Linked DNA regions of Struthio camelus. The protein of the gene in region 3 interacts with the protein of the main gene of each other region in a pairwise test. Links are inferred from orthologs where the notes say so. Each region holds a gene or a part of one and is shown on either strand. Other genes may lie near its edges.

Evidence for each region.
Region 1: the proteins of C2H1orf35 (region 3) and serine/arginine repetitive matrix protein 4 interact in binary tests that used the Homo sapiens proteins (3 or more experiments, as listed by UniProt). The link is inferred for Struthio camelus from reciprocal best matches to the Homo sapiens genes C1orf35 and SRRM4.
Region 2: the proteins of C2H1orf35 (region 3) and DACH1 interact in binary tests that used the Homo sapiens proteins (3 or more experiments, as listed by UniProt). The two-hybrid records come from large-scale screens. The link is inferred for Struthio camelus from reciprocal best matches to the Homo sapiens genes C1orf35 and DACH1.

The regions. Positions count from the first base shown.
Region 1 is NC_090958.1:7,357,795-7,361,533, reverse strand, and holds the start of serine/arginine repetitive matrix protein 4, read right to left. Parts: upstream 2,783-3,739; 5' UTR 2,756-2,782; coding exon 2,625-2,755; intron 1-2,624. UniProt on the Homo sapiens protein: Splicing factor specifically required for neural cell differentiation.
Region 2 is NC_090942.1:179,042,353-179,046,091, reverse strand, and holds the start of DACH1 (dachshund homolog 1), read right to left. Parts: upstream 2,415-3,739; 5' UTR 1,288-2,414; coding exon 530-1,287; intron 1-529. UniProt on the Homo sapiens protein: Transcription factor that is involved in regulation of organogenesis. Seems to be a regulator of SIX1, SIX6 and probably SIX5.
Region 3 is NC_090943.1:3,605,058-3,608,796, forward strand, and holds the start of C2H1orf35 (multiple myeloma tumor-associated protein 2), read right to left. Parts: upstream 2,744-3,739; 5' UTR 2,603-2,743; intron 2,386-2,602; exon of another isoform or gene 2,320-2,385; intron 1,695-2,319; exon of another isoform or gene 1,537-1,694; 5' UTR 1,523-1,536; coding exon 1,429-1,522; intron 829-1,428; coding exon 672-828; intron 587-671; coding exon 538-586; intron 414-537; coding exon 331-413; intron 212-330; coding exon 139-211; intron 1-138. Other genes in the region: MRPL55 (large ribosomal subunit protein mL55), read right to left, coding at 2,823-2,966, 3,055-3,259, 3,514-3,539.

The DNA.
Region 1 (3,739 bases), on a different chromosome or scaffold from region 3:
CAGATGGTCATCTTCATTTTTCATTTGTCTAACCGGCCTCTCCGTCTCCTCCCCGGTGCCAGGCTGCTCCCTGCAAGCAGCTTAATTTGCTCTTAAATGAGCCAGGAATAGTCTCGGGGGAAAAAAAAAAAAAAAAAAAAGGCCGCGCTGATGAGCAGCCTGGGGAAACCTTCAGGAGAAAAACCAGACCCCAAAGCGGAGCCGGGAAGAGAGACGCGAGAGGAGCGGCGCAGCCCTCGGGACCGATCTCCCTCTCGCGCGGGCTGGCGAGCAGAAGCACGCCGCGGGCCTAGCGGCGTTTCGGGAAAGCACGACCTCGCTCGCCCTCCTCCAGCCTCCGGCTTTGGTCCCCGGGCAGGAAACCCCCGTCTGCCACCCGCGGGGCTGCAGCAAACCTCTAACCACCGCCGCGCCTGCCCCGCGCCGGAGGGAAAGCGGCCGCGTGAGGGGGCTGCCGGGGCCGGCGAGACGCTAACGCCTGCGGCGAGCGCGCCGGTGCAGATGGCCGGCCCGCGGGGAATATCACGTAGCCCGTGCCCCGCTGCGCGGCCTTGCTTTCCGGCGACATATGCTGCGAGGAGACAAAAGCCGCGGGGGGGATGGAGGCGGAGAGCTCGCGAGCCCGCGGCGCGGCCCCTCGGGGCACGGCCCCTCGCCCGGCCCTCCAGCAGGGAGGGTTTGCCAGCGCCAAGGTGTGAAACGCAGCAGCCCGGAGGCGCCGGGGCCGGTCCCCCCCCTCCGCTGAGCGCTTCCTCCCCGCTGCGCAGATGGTGTCCCCCTCCCGCCCGAGCGCTTAGTGCTCCGGAAGACACGAGCCCATTTGCATTTGGGAACTTTTAATGGAGCCTGAAAACGCTCCCGTCCTGCGCTTAGCCCAGGCATCGACCCGCGGCCGAGCCGGCGGCCCGGAAACGGGCTCGCAGCCACCGCACGCGAACGTTTGCTGTGAATGATGCTCGTCGATGGGAATTGCTTCATCGCCATGCAGGAGCCGGGCATCCTTCCTGCTGCGCGGGCTCACTGGATCCCCCCGACAGCCTAATTTGATGTTTTATTTCATCTTTCATTGCGAGACATTTAAAAAGCACGGCTCTTTCAAGCCAATTCAGGCAGGAGAGAGCGTGTGCGTGCGTGCGCGGACACACAGCGCGCTCTTGGCTGGTCTGCGGGCCAACATGTGAATAACGTAACCTGGTGCAGGGGGGGAGAGACAAACCGGTGGCTCCTCTCGCGCACCAAGACCGAAGCCGTGCCGAATGCCCTCTGCGGAAATGAGATCTGCTCTTCCCGTTTGGAAGGCTAAGCGGTGTCTTTTTCAATTTCCTAATCGGATTGATCACAATCAGCGAGACGGGCGATTTCGCGCTCGTCCCTAACAAAACCCGCCGGGGCGGCTGGGCCGCCGAGAGCGGCGGCTGAGAGGCGGCGTTGCCGCGGCCGGCACGCAGGCTCAGCTTGCGCCACCGCCCTGCAGACCAAGCGGCTCTCCTCTACCGACCCATCCTGCTCGTGAAACTTTTGGTCGCTCCCCACACTGGGTGGGGAGCAGCCAACAGCAACAATAGGGAACCCGCGAAAGCCTCATTTCCTTGGAAAACCAGTGCAAAGCGGGTATTTTTAACCAATATTAAGACACCGACAATAAAAGCGCTCCGAAGCGGAGCGGAGCTACTGTGGAGCAGCAGAATCCACAGGGATTCTTGCACGCCTGGCAGCACTGCCGTGCCCCTCGGGGGCTAACAGCCCCTGCACCCCGTTTCACGGCTCGTGCCCCCGCTCCACTGCCGGCAAAGCCCGTGGCATCGGCCAGCGGGTCCCTGGGCCCGGCCGGGACAGGGCGGACGGGCACCAGCCCTGTGCACCAGCCAGCGCTGAGCTGGTGTTGCGCTGCACGGCAGAGCCCCGTGCCCAGCGGGCACCGCTCGGCGGGGCGAGCTGGGGGCACGGGAAGGCCGTGCCCTCCCAGAGGGGCAGAGCAGCGGGAGACGTGCCTGCAGCAAAGCGTCGGCCGCTAGCCGGGTGCCCTGGAGGGAATCAGAGCCAGGGCTGCCTCGGTCCCCTCGCTGCCCGCTGGCACCTGAGCAGCCGTGGCCTCGGGGCCACGTGCCCCCAGGGGAGACATCAGCATCGCCTCCTGCACCCAGGCAGCGGAGGTCGCACCCTGCCCGGGCATCGCCTTCCTGAGGGCTCCCAGTGGGTGCCTGGCGAAGGGGGGATGCAGAGGCGAGATGCTCAGCAGGACACGCGCTCCTCGGGGCCTGCACAGCGGGGACGGTCGCTTGGACTCCGGCCGGGGGTGCCCACACTTTCTCGGGTGCCCTCAGGGGCCCAGCACGAGATTTCCAGGACCCTCATCCTGCTCCCCCCGGAGGCAACCAGCTCTCGGGGTCAAAGCACCCGCCGAAGCCAGGGTTCCCCAACCCGCTCTCCTCCGGAGCGGCTCTCCCCCGGCGGGTGCAGCCCCTAACGGGGGGCATCCAAGATCCCCCAGGCCGAGGGGGTCCCTCCAAGCCCCCCAGCCCCTAAGGAGGGGGAGGTGAAGAGCCGGGGGGGGGTCTCTGCAGTCTCGCCCAGCCGGTGTGGGGAGGGGATAACACTGGGGGGGGGTAAGGGGTCCCCCTTACCTGGGCAGCGGCTTGCGGGCCGTGATGCTGGCCACGATGATGCTCTCGGGCCGCGGCGTGGCCACGGCCTTGAAGGTGCCTCGCCAGAACTTCTCGAAGAGCTGCTTCTCGCCCTGCTCCGCGCTGGCCATGGCCCCGGCCCGGCCCCCCCGGCCCGGCCCGCCCGGCCCCGCCGCTCTCCGCGGTGCTGATCGCTACATCCCGCCCGGCCCGGCCCCGCCGCCGCCGCCGCTGCTGCCCGGCCCGGCCCGGCCCGGCCCGGCTCGGCTCGGCTCGGCTCGGCTCGGCTCGGCTCGGCCCGGCTCGGCCCGGCTCGGCTCGGCCCGGCCCGGCCCGGCCCGGCCCGCGGGGAGCGTGTGCGGCCGAGCCGCCCCCGCCGCCGTTTTGTGCCGGGCGAGGCGGGGAAAGGGGCCGGGCCCGGCGGTGCGTCCGCCCCGGCACCGCCCCGCGCCCGCCCCGGCTCCAGCCCCGGCTCCAGCCCCGGCCCCGGCTCCAGCCCCAGCTCCGGCTCCAACCCTGGCTCCAGCCCCGGCCCCGGCTCCAGCCCCAGCTCCGGCTCCAGCCCTGGCTCCAGCCCCGGCTCCAGCCCCAGCTCCGGCTCCAACCCTGGCTCCAGCCCCAGCTCCGGCTCCGGCTCCAGCCCCGGCCCCGGCTCCAGCCCCAGCTCTGGCTCCAGCCCCGGCCCCGGCTCCAGCCCCAGCTCTGGCTCCAGCCCCGGCCCCGGCTCCAGCCCCGGCCCCGGCTCCAGCCCCGGCCCCAGCTCCGGCTCCAGCCCCGGCTCCAGCCCCAGCTCCGGCTCCAGCCCCGGCTCCAGCCCCGGCCCCGGCCCCAGCCCCGGCCCCGGCTCCAGCCCCGGCCCCGGCTCCAGCCCCAGCTCCGGCTCCAGCCCCGGCTCCAGCCCCGGCCCCGGCCCCAGCCCCGGCCCCGGCTCCAGCCCCGGCCCCGGCTCCAGCCCCAGCCCCGGCTCCAGCCCCGGCTCCAGCCCCGGCTCCAGCTCCGGCTCCAGCCCCGGCTCCAGCTCCGGCTCCAGCCCCGGCCCCGGCTCCAGCCCCGGCCCCGGCTCCAGCCCCAGCTCCGGCTCCAGCCCCAGCTCCGGCTCCAGCCCCAGCTCCAGC
Region 2 (3,739 bases), on a different chromosome or scaffold from region 3:
CCCCGCCCACTCCTGAACACCCCTCGGACAGCTTTTTCCCAGGGCTGTCCGTTTTACAGATACATCCACGTGTAAAGCTAAGGACGGCGGAGGTCAGAAAGCACTTTCTGTCCCTGCTGCTCCCCCTCCCCACACACACACACCTCCACTCCCCGGCCCGCACGCCCTGCCCCGGGCCCCCGGCAGCCCTCGGCCGAGCGCGGCCAGAAGGGCACAATGACAGTGCGACAACGGCACACGGCACGAGCGGAGGGGGCCAGCGGGGCAGAAACACCCTTTCTCCTTTCTCTCCCTGTCCCAGCGAGGAGGAACTCAGCCGGCTGCTCGGCAGGCTGGTCGGGTGCCAGGCACGGAGGGGAGGAGGGGGCGAGCGCATGTGGCCGCAGGGGAGCCGGCCGGGCGCCCCTCACCCCCGGCCCGGGCCGGCTCGGCGGCCGTGGGAAGCGGCGCGGCGCGGGGAGGGACGGCGGCGGCGGGGAGGGGGGCGGCGGGGCCCCGCGTGGGGCGTGCGAGCGCTGGCGGCGCTTACCTGGCGTTGGTGCAGTCGTTGTAGAGGGTCTCGAAATCCTTCCTGGAGATGAGTTTGCAGCGGTTGACCCCGGGCTGGATGGCCCCCAGCCCCCTCAGGATGCGGACCTGCTCCACGTTGCACACCACGGGCGTGATCTCCAGCCGCTTCAGCTTGGTGTAGACCGTGTGCAAGCCCCCCACCAAGTGCTTCAGGAAGAGGTCGAAAGCCTGGGGCAGGCAGATGAGCTCGCAGCCCTCCACGGTGAAGGAGGCCACTTTGGCCCCCCTCAGATCCACCATCTTGCACTCGTTATTCTGGGGGGTGTTCTCCACCGGGGACGGGGTCGAGTACACCGGCTTGCCCGGCAGGCTGCCGGCCGCGCTGGCCGCGCTGGCATTGGGAGTGGAGGTGCCGCTGCCGCCGCCGCCGCCGCCGCTGCTGCCGCCGCCGCCGCCGCCGCCGCCGGTGCCCAGGCTGGGGCTGCCGCCGCCGCCGCCGCCGCTGCCGCCGCCGCTGCCGCTGCCGCTGGTGGTGGAGGTGACTGTGGCCGCCGCTGCCGCCGCTGCCGCCGCCGCCGCCGCCGCCGCTGCGATGGGCTCCGGCCGGAATAGGTTTGTCCCCGAGGCGGCCGGCGGGGGAGCGATGGACGGAGACGGAGAGGAGGTGGCCGACGAGGAGGAGGTGGTGGTGGTGGTGGTGCAGGCGGCAGAAGTTGAGACCGGAGGCTGAGGGGGGACCAGCTGGGTCGGAGGGATCAAAGCAGCCGGTACGGCCATGGTCACATATACGGCGGAGGGGGGCAGGGGGAGGGGGGAAAGTTCCCACACACACACGCAGGGGAAAGGGGGGAAATTAAAAGAAATATATATTAAAAAAAAAAGGGGGGAGAGGAGAGGAGAAGGGAGGAGGGGGGGAGAAGAAGGGGGGAATAACCCCGGATCAGGTGCTGCGGCGAGCGAGAGAGCAGGGGGCAGAGTGAGAGAGAGAAACGCACAAAGTGTCCCGCAAGTGGGGACGGAGGAGGAGGAGGAGGAGGAGGAGGAGAAGTCCGCTCCGGGCGGCGGGGCTGGGGCCGAGGGGAGGGGGAGGGCAGTTTCTTTTTGTGGTCCTTGCTCTAGCACCACGTTAAAGACGAAGGTGAAAAGGAGGAGGTTTGAAGGACTTCGGTTCTCTCTGGCAAGTACATTGATCAAAGATTGAGAGGGGAATGACAGAGAGAAAATGAGCTGGGAAGTGCTGGCTGCCGCCGCCGCTCGCCGCTCGCTCGCTCTCTGGACGAGTTGTTGTTGTCACACGGTGCGGAGGGGAGGAGCTCCGGCAACTTGAAATACCCTTTGAAGCAGCAAAAGGCTCACTCACTAGTATTAACCCAAATTATCCAACCAGGAACCCGGAGCAGGGAAACAGAGAGAGGGAGAGAAGTCCCTCTTCCTCCCCCCTCTCCTCCTCTTCAGGAACCGTTAGATTACATGTTTCATATTTCACCCCACCAGAGACGAGATGTAATTTTCCCAGCCCTTTTCAGCAATCGCTTGTCAACACAGTTTGTGGAGAAACACGAGCGTTTCAAGCTTCTCCTGAAGCCCGCAGGGAGCGGGGCTCTCCCGGCGCGGGACGAGGGCAGACGGCGCTGCGGGCGGCCGCGCAGCCTGCCCCGCGCCGGGGCACAGGCACAAAAGCAGAAACCTCCCTATTATTATTATTATTATTATTATTAGGACTATTACTATTATTATTTTCACTCCGGAGACCGCAAACGCTCCTCCTAGCGGAGCGGGAGTGGCTGCTGAGGGTGCGGAGGGATGCGCGCCGCGCAGCGCCGAGCACCTTTTGTGGAGCGGCGGGGGGCGCGGCGGTGGCTGCGCGGGGCGCAGAGCCCCGCGCACGGAAGCCCCAACACGGCCACAGCTGCAGGGCACTTCCTGAAAGCGGCCGGATCAAAGGGCACAGCCCGCCCCGCTACACGCCGTCCAGCCACCGCATGGCTTTCACTGCCGGCGGAGGGGGCGGCGGTGCCCTCTTCCCCCGCGGAAGGGGAGCGCGGAGCCGCGGCAGGGACCGAGGCGGCTCCTCCCCCCCCCCCCCAAAAAAAAAAAAAAAAGCGTGCAAAAACCAAGGCCCGGCGGGACTAGGCGAAAACGCCTGAGCCCGGCGGCGTTTTGCTCAAGTAAACTTAAAAACGCGGCAGGCGGGCGGCCGCGGAGGGACGACGGCTCCCGCGCCGCTGCCCGCAACAGGTGACCGCGCCGCGCAGCCCGGCCGCCCGCTAGCGCGCAAAGTGAGCTGCTGCGCTTGCCCACACATGCGCAGTGGCGGATGGGCGGTGTGCCTCCTGCCTGCCCGTGCTGGCCAGGCCCGTGCGTGCTGCCATACCTGGCCGCCCCCGAAGTTTGGGACGGAGTTTTCGCTTGGAGTCGGGCATGTTTGATAGCCCCGGTAGGTGGGATGGTAGGGGTCGTTCAGGGAAGTAGAGAGCTTTGTTTTGCTCTTTTTTTTTTTCTTCAGGGCACTTCAGTTTTTCGTAGGGGCAAAGAAACAGTCATTCATAGAGATGGACCGTCTGCAAAAGCAGAGGGTCGGGTGTACACAGCTCTTTCGGTTTTAAAAACATAAATCATGTACTTAAGTAATTGTGATGCATGTATGTGCCCTGAGCTTCCTTTTTTTTTTTTTTAATGTGTACTATTATATGAGATATGACTCATGGGATGACACATCTACACAGTGGATAATTTCAACTATTGTAATTCTGTGCGGGGGGAATTTCCACTTTATCAGATATAAAGCATTCTCATATATCTATGTGCTCACTGTACTTTAACTTGTTTTCTTATATCTGAGAACATTTATATTTTAATACCAGAAAAACATGTTTTAATACCACAAAGATGTCTTTTGCTCGTAAAGTTTTAGATTTCCTACACTAAAATCTTCAGAATGGACAAATAAAAACAAGAAAACACAGAGTGACACTTTGTTTTGAAATCTCGTGGACCCATAATAGTACAGAACACTTTTACGGAACGTTTGTCTGGAGGAGCTTATAAAACTTTAAATTATAGTGGGAGGATGTAGTGTTGACATAAAACTTGGAATACACTGAAAAATGTATATGTATTGCATCCTCCTATTTTCAGTTGTAGAAAACCAGCTCTGTTCATTGTCGCTTTGCCTCAACTGCCCTTTTCTGTCTCCCTTTCTCTTACACGTTCTAAAGATATAAAACAG
Region 3 (3,739 bases):
CGGGCGAGCGCGGGGAGTCGTCCCCCGGCGTCGCAGCGTGGGCAAAAGGGAAGGGAACCGGGGAGGGGAAGCGCAACACGCGCGTTACTCGCTTCCAACCCCCCAAAAAACCTCGCGTTTCCCGCAGCGTAGACCTACCGTGAAGACCGAGAGCCCCATCTTGGCCGCTTCTCTGTCTTCCTTGGAGAGCGTCAGGCGGCCGGCGGAGCCGCTGCGGGGGACGGCAAGCGCCGCGTCAGGGCGTCCGCCAAACGCGGGCGGGCTCCGCCGGGCGTCCCGTTTCCGCCGGGGAAAGGAGGGACCGCGGGAGGTCGAACCCCAGGACGTTACCTGGAGCTGCCCAATCCCACCAGCCGGTCCACGTCCTGGCGGCTGCGCTCGCCGCCGCCGCGCTTGCACACCTCGGCCAGGTCCTGCGGGCGTCAAAGCCCACCGCCCCCGAGAAACGACGGTGAAGGAGGGCGTCTCCGCCTGGCGCCCACCGAAAAACCGAGCTCGGCCCGGGGCGGCGGCGGGGTGGGGTGACGCGGTTCTCACCTCCTTGCTGAGGCCGGCGGGCCGCTGCCGCCGCGCGGTGCCGTAACCCCTGCGGGAAGAGAAGAGGAGGAAGGGGCAGGCGGGGAGGGTTCGCCCGGGGGTCCCCCACCGCTCGCCCCCCTCTCTGCACTCACAGCGCCGCCAGCATGGCCTCGCGCTCGGCCAGGCGCACGGCCGCCAGCTCCTCCTCGCGCGCCGCGCCGCTCGCCGCCGCCGCCGCCTTGCCCTTGGCGTACCAGGTGAGGTCTTTGCCCTTCTGCCAGCGGCCCACCGGGGCCATCAGCGAGTTGCCTGCGGGTACGAGAAGGTGGTGTCACGGGTGCTGGAGGTGGTGGCTCTTCTGGAGGTGGCTCCTCCGGAGATGGTGGCTCCTCCAGAGGTGGTGGCTCCTCCAGAGGTGGCTCCCTCCTCCAGAAGTGGTGGCTCCCTCCTCCAGAAGTGGTGGCTCCCTCCTCCAGAGGTGGCTCCCTCCTCCAGAGGTGGCTCCTCCAGAGGTGGCTCCTCCAGAGGTGGCTCCCCCTCCAGAGGTGGCTCCCTCCTCCAGAGGTGGCTCCCTCCTCCAGAGGTGGCTCCTCCAGAGGTGGTGGCTCCCTCCTCCAGAGGTGGCTCCTCCAGAGGTGGCTCCTCCAGAGGTGGCTCCCCCTCCAGAGGTGGCTCCCTCCTCCAGAGGTGGCTCCTCCAGAGGTGGTGGCTCCCTCCTCCAGAGGTGGCTCCTCCAGAGGTGGCTCCCTCCTCCAGAGGTGGTGGCTCCTCCAGAGGTGGCTCCCTCCTCCAGAGGTGGTGGCTCCTCCAGAGGTGGTGGCTCCTCTGGAGGTGGCTCCCTCCTCCGGAGGTGGTGGCTCCCTCCTCCAGAGGTGGCTCCTCCAGAGGTGGTGGCTCCTCCATCCTTACCTAGGTAGTTCTCGCGCTGCTTGTCCACCTTCACGTCCTCCCAGCTGAACTGGTCCTGCCCGCCGCGCACCCCTCCGCGGGACGAGCCGAACATGGTGCCGCCGGAGCCTGCGGGAGACGGGGCGGGCGCGAAACGTCGCGGCAAAAGTCATTCCCACCACCACCACCAGCACCAGCGCTGCCGCCACCCCAGCCCTGCCGCGGGGGGAATGCAAAGACTTGGGGGCTGCAAGCGTGGGGAAGGGGGGCTGCAAAAGTGGGGGGGGGTGTTGCAAAGTCTGGACAGCGCAGGGGGGTGCATGGCCAAGGGGGGAGAGTTGCAAAGACTGGATGGTGTCGGGGGGGGGGGAGGGGGGTTGCACAGCTCGGGGGGGTGCAGAGGCCGGGGTGGGGGGGTTGCACAAACCGGGGGGGGGTGTAGAAGTCGGGAGGGGGGGTTGCACATCCCGAGGGGGTGCAGAGGCCGGGGAAGGGGGTTGCACAAACCGGGGCGGGGTGCAGAGGCTGGAGGGGGCGGGTTGCACAGCCCGGGGGGGTGCAGAGGCCGCGGGGGGGGGGGTTGCACGAACCGGGTGGGGGGGGGAGGTTGCACGAACCGGGGGGGGTGCAGAGGCTGGAGGGGGCGGGTTGCACAGCCCGGGGGGGTGCAGAGGCCGCGGGGCGGGGGGGGTTGCACAGCCCGGGGGGGGGGGGAGGTTGCACGAACCGGGGGGGTGCAGAGGCTGGAGGGGGCGGGTTGCACAGCCCGGGGGGGTGCAGAGGCCGCGCAGGGAGGTGTTGCACACCGCGGGGGTGGGGGGGTGGGGGGGGACCGCCCCGAGGGGACGGGGATGGGCGGTGTAAGGCGCAGGGGCCGCGCAACTCCCCCCCCCCCCCCGGCCCCCCGCAGACCTCGCCCGCGCGCTCCGGCCGCGCCGCCCCGCGCTGCGCCTCCCCCTCCCCCACCCCGCGCCCCGCCCCCAGCGGCGCGCGCCGCTCCCGCCCCGCCCCGGGCGCTACCACCGCGCCCCGCCGCCGGGGGGGGGGGGAGTGGGACGGTTGAGAGGCGGCGGGCGGCACCATCGCGCCGCCACGCGGGGGTGGGGGGGGGTGGGGGGAACCAAAGGGACCACCGAAACCGGGGAGTTTCCCCCCAAACAGCGCCGGCCTCAAGGGCTGGGGGTCCCGATCCCACCTCAACCACCACCACCACCACGTCGGCTCCCCGGCTGGCCTACAGGCGACGTCCGTCCTCCCCCACACAGGGGCAGCCTGCCTGCACCCCGCACAAAACCAGACAGGAAACGCTCGGAAATTCCACCGAAAAAGAATTATTTTCCAAATTTTTCTCTTCCGGACGTTATGTTAGAGCCTCGGCGGGAGCGCTCCAAACGGCGTCCGCGAGCGGCCGGCCCTTAGCTCTTCCAAAACTTCTTGTACTCGTCCAGGTTGACGTCTTCGAACGCCTCCTCCTTCGGGGCCTTAAACCGGGCGGGGAACTGTCGCCGCAGCCGGGCCTTCCTTTCGGCCTCGGGCAGCGCGTTGCTGTCCAGAGGCAACTGCAGAGGGAAGAGAAACCGGCCGCGGCGAGGATCAGGATCAGGGCTCCCTCCCGGGGCCCTTCCCGCCCGCCCGCCGCCGCCTCACCGTCAGGATCTTCTTGGGCTCCTTGTAGCGGACGCGGACGGTAGAGCCATCGGTCTTCACCAGCAGCACGGGGTAGAGCCGGCCGTACGCCTGCCGGCGGACGCGGGCCACCGACGTCCTGTTGGAGTCGCCGCGGCCGCAGGAGGCGTGCAGCAGGCGGAAGCTCGGCGGCAGCCGGCCGCGGGCGACCTGCTGCCCCAGCGACCTGCCGGCCGGAGGCAAAAATCTCTCAGCGCCGAGGCCAAGTCACGGTGTGGGGGTTAGAAATGGCGGGGGGGGGGGGGGGGGGGGCGCGCCGCGGGCCCGCTCCCACCCTCCCGCTGACGGGGCTCCCAGGCGGCAGCGGGGGCGCCGGCCCCGGCTGGGTTTCAGGCCGAAAAACGGGGGTTTCGACTTCGGCGCCGTCGTTGAGGCGGAGGGGTCGGCGGCGAGGGAGGGCCAGGCGGGGCCGGCGCTCACCCCAGCGTCCTGCTCAGCGCCGCCATCACCACGCGAGGCAGCGCGGCGAGGTCTCTCTGCCGCCGACCTGAGGAACAAGACGGGCTGCCGGAGTCAGACCCATGGTGGCTTCCCCCCTCGCCCCGCAGTGGTTCAGCCCAAAGTGGCTCCCCCCTCGCTCCGCAGTGGTTCAGCCCAAAGTGGCCCCCCCCTCACCCTGCAGTGGTTCAGCCCAAAGTGGCTCCCC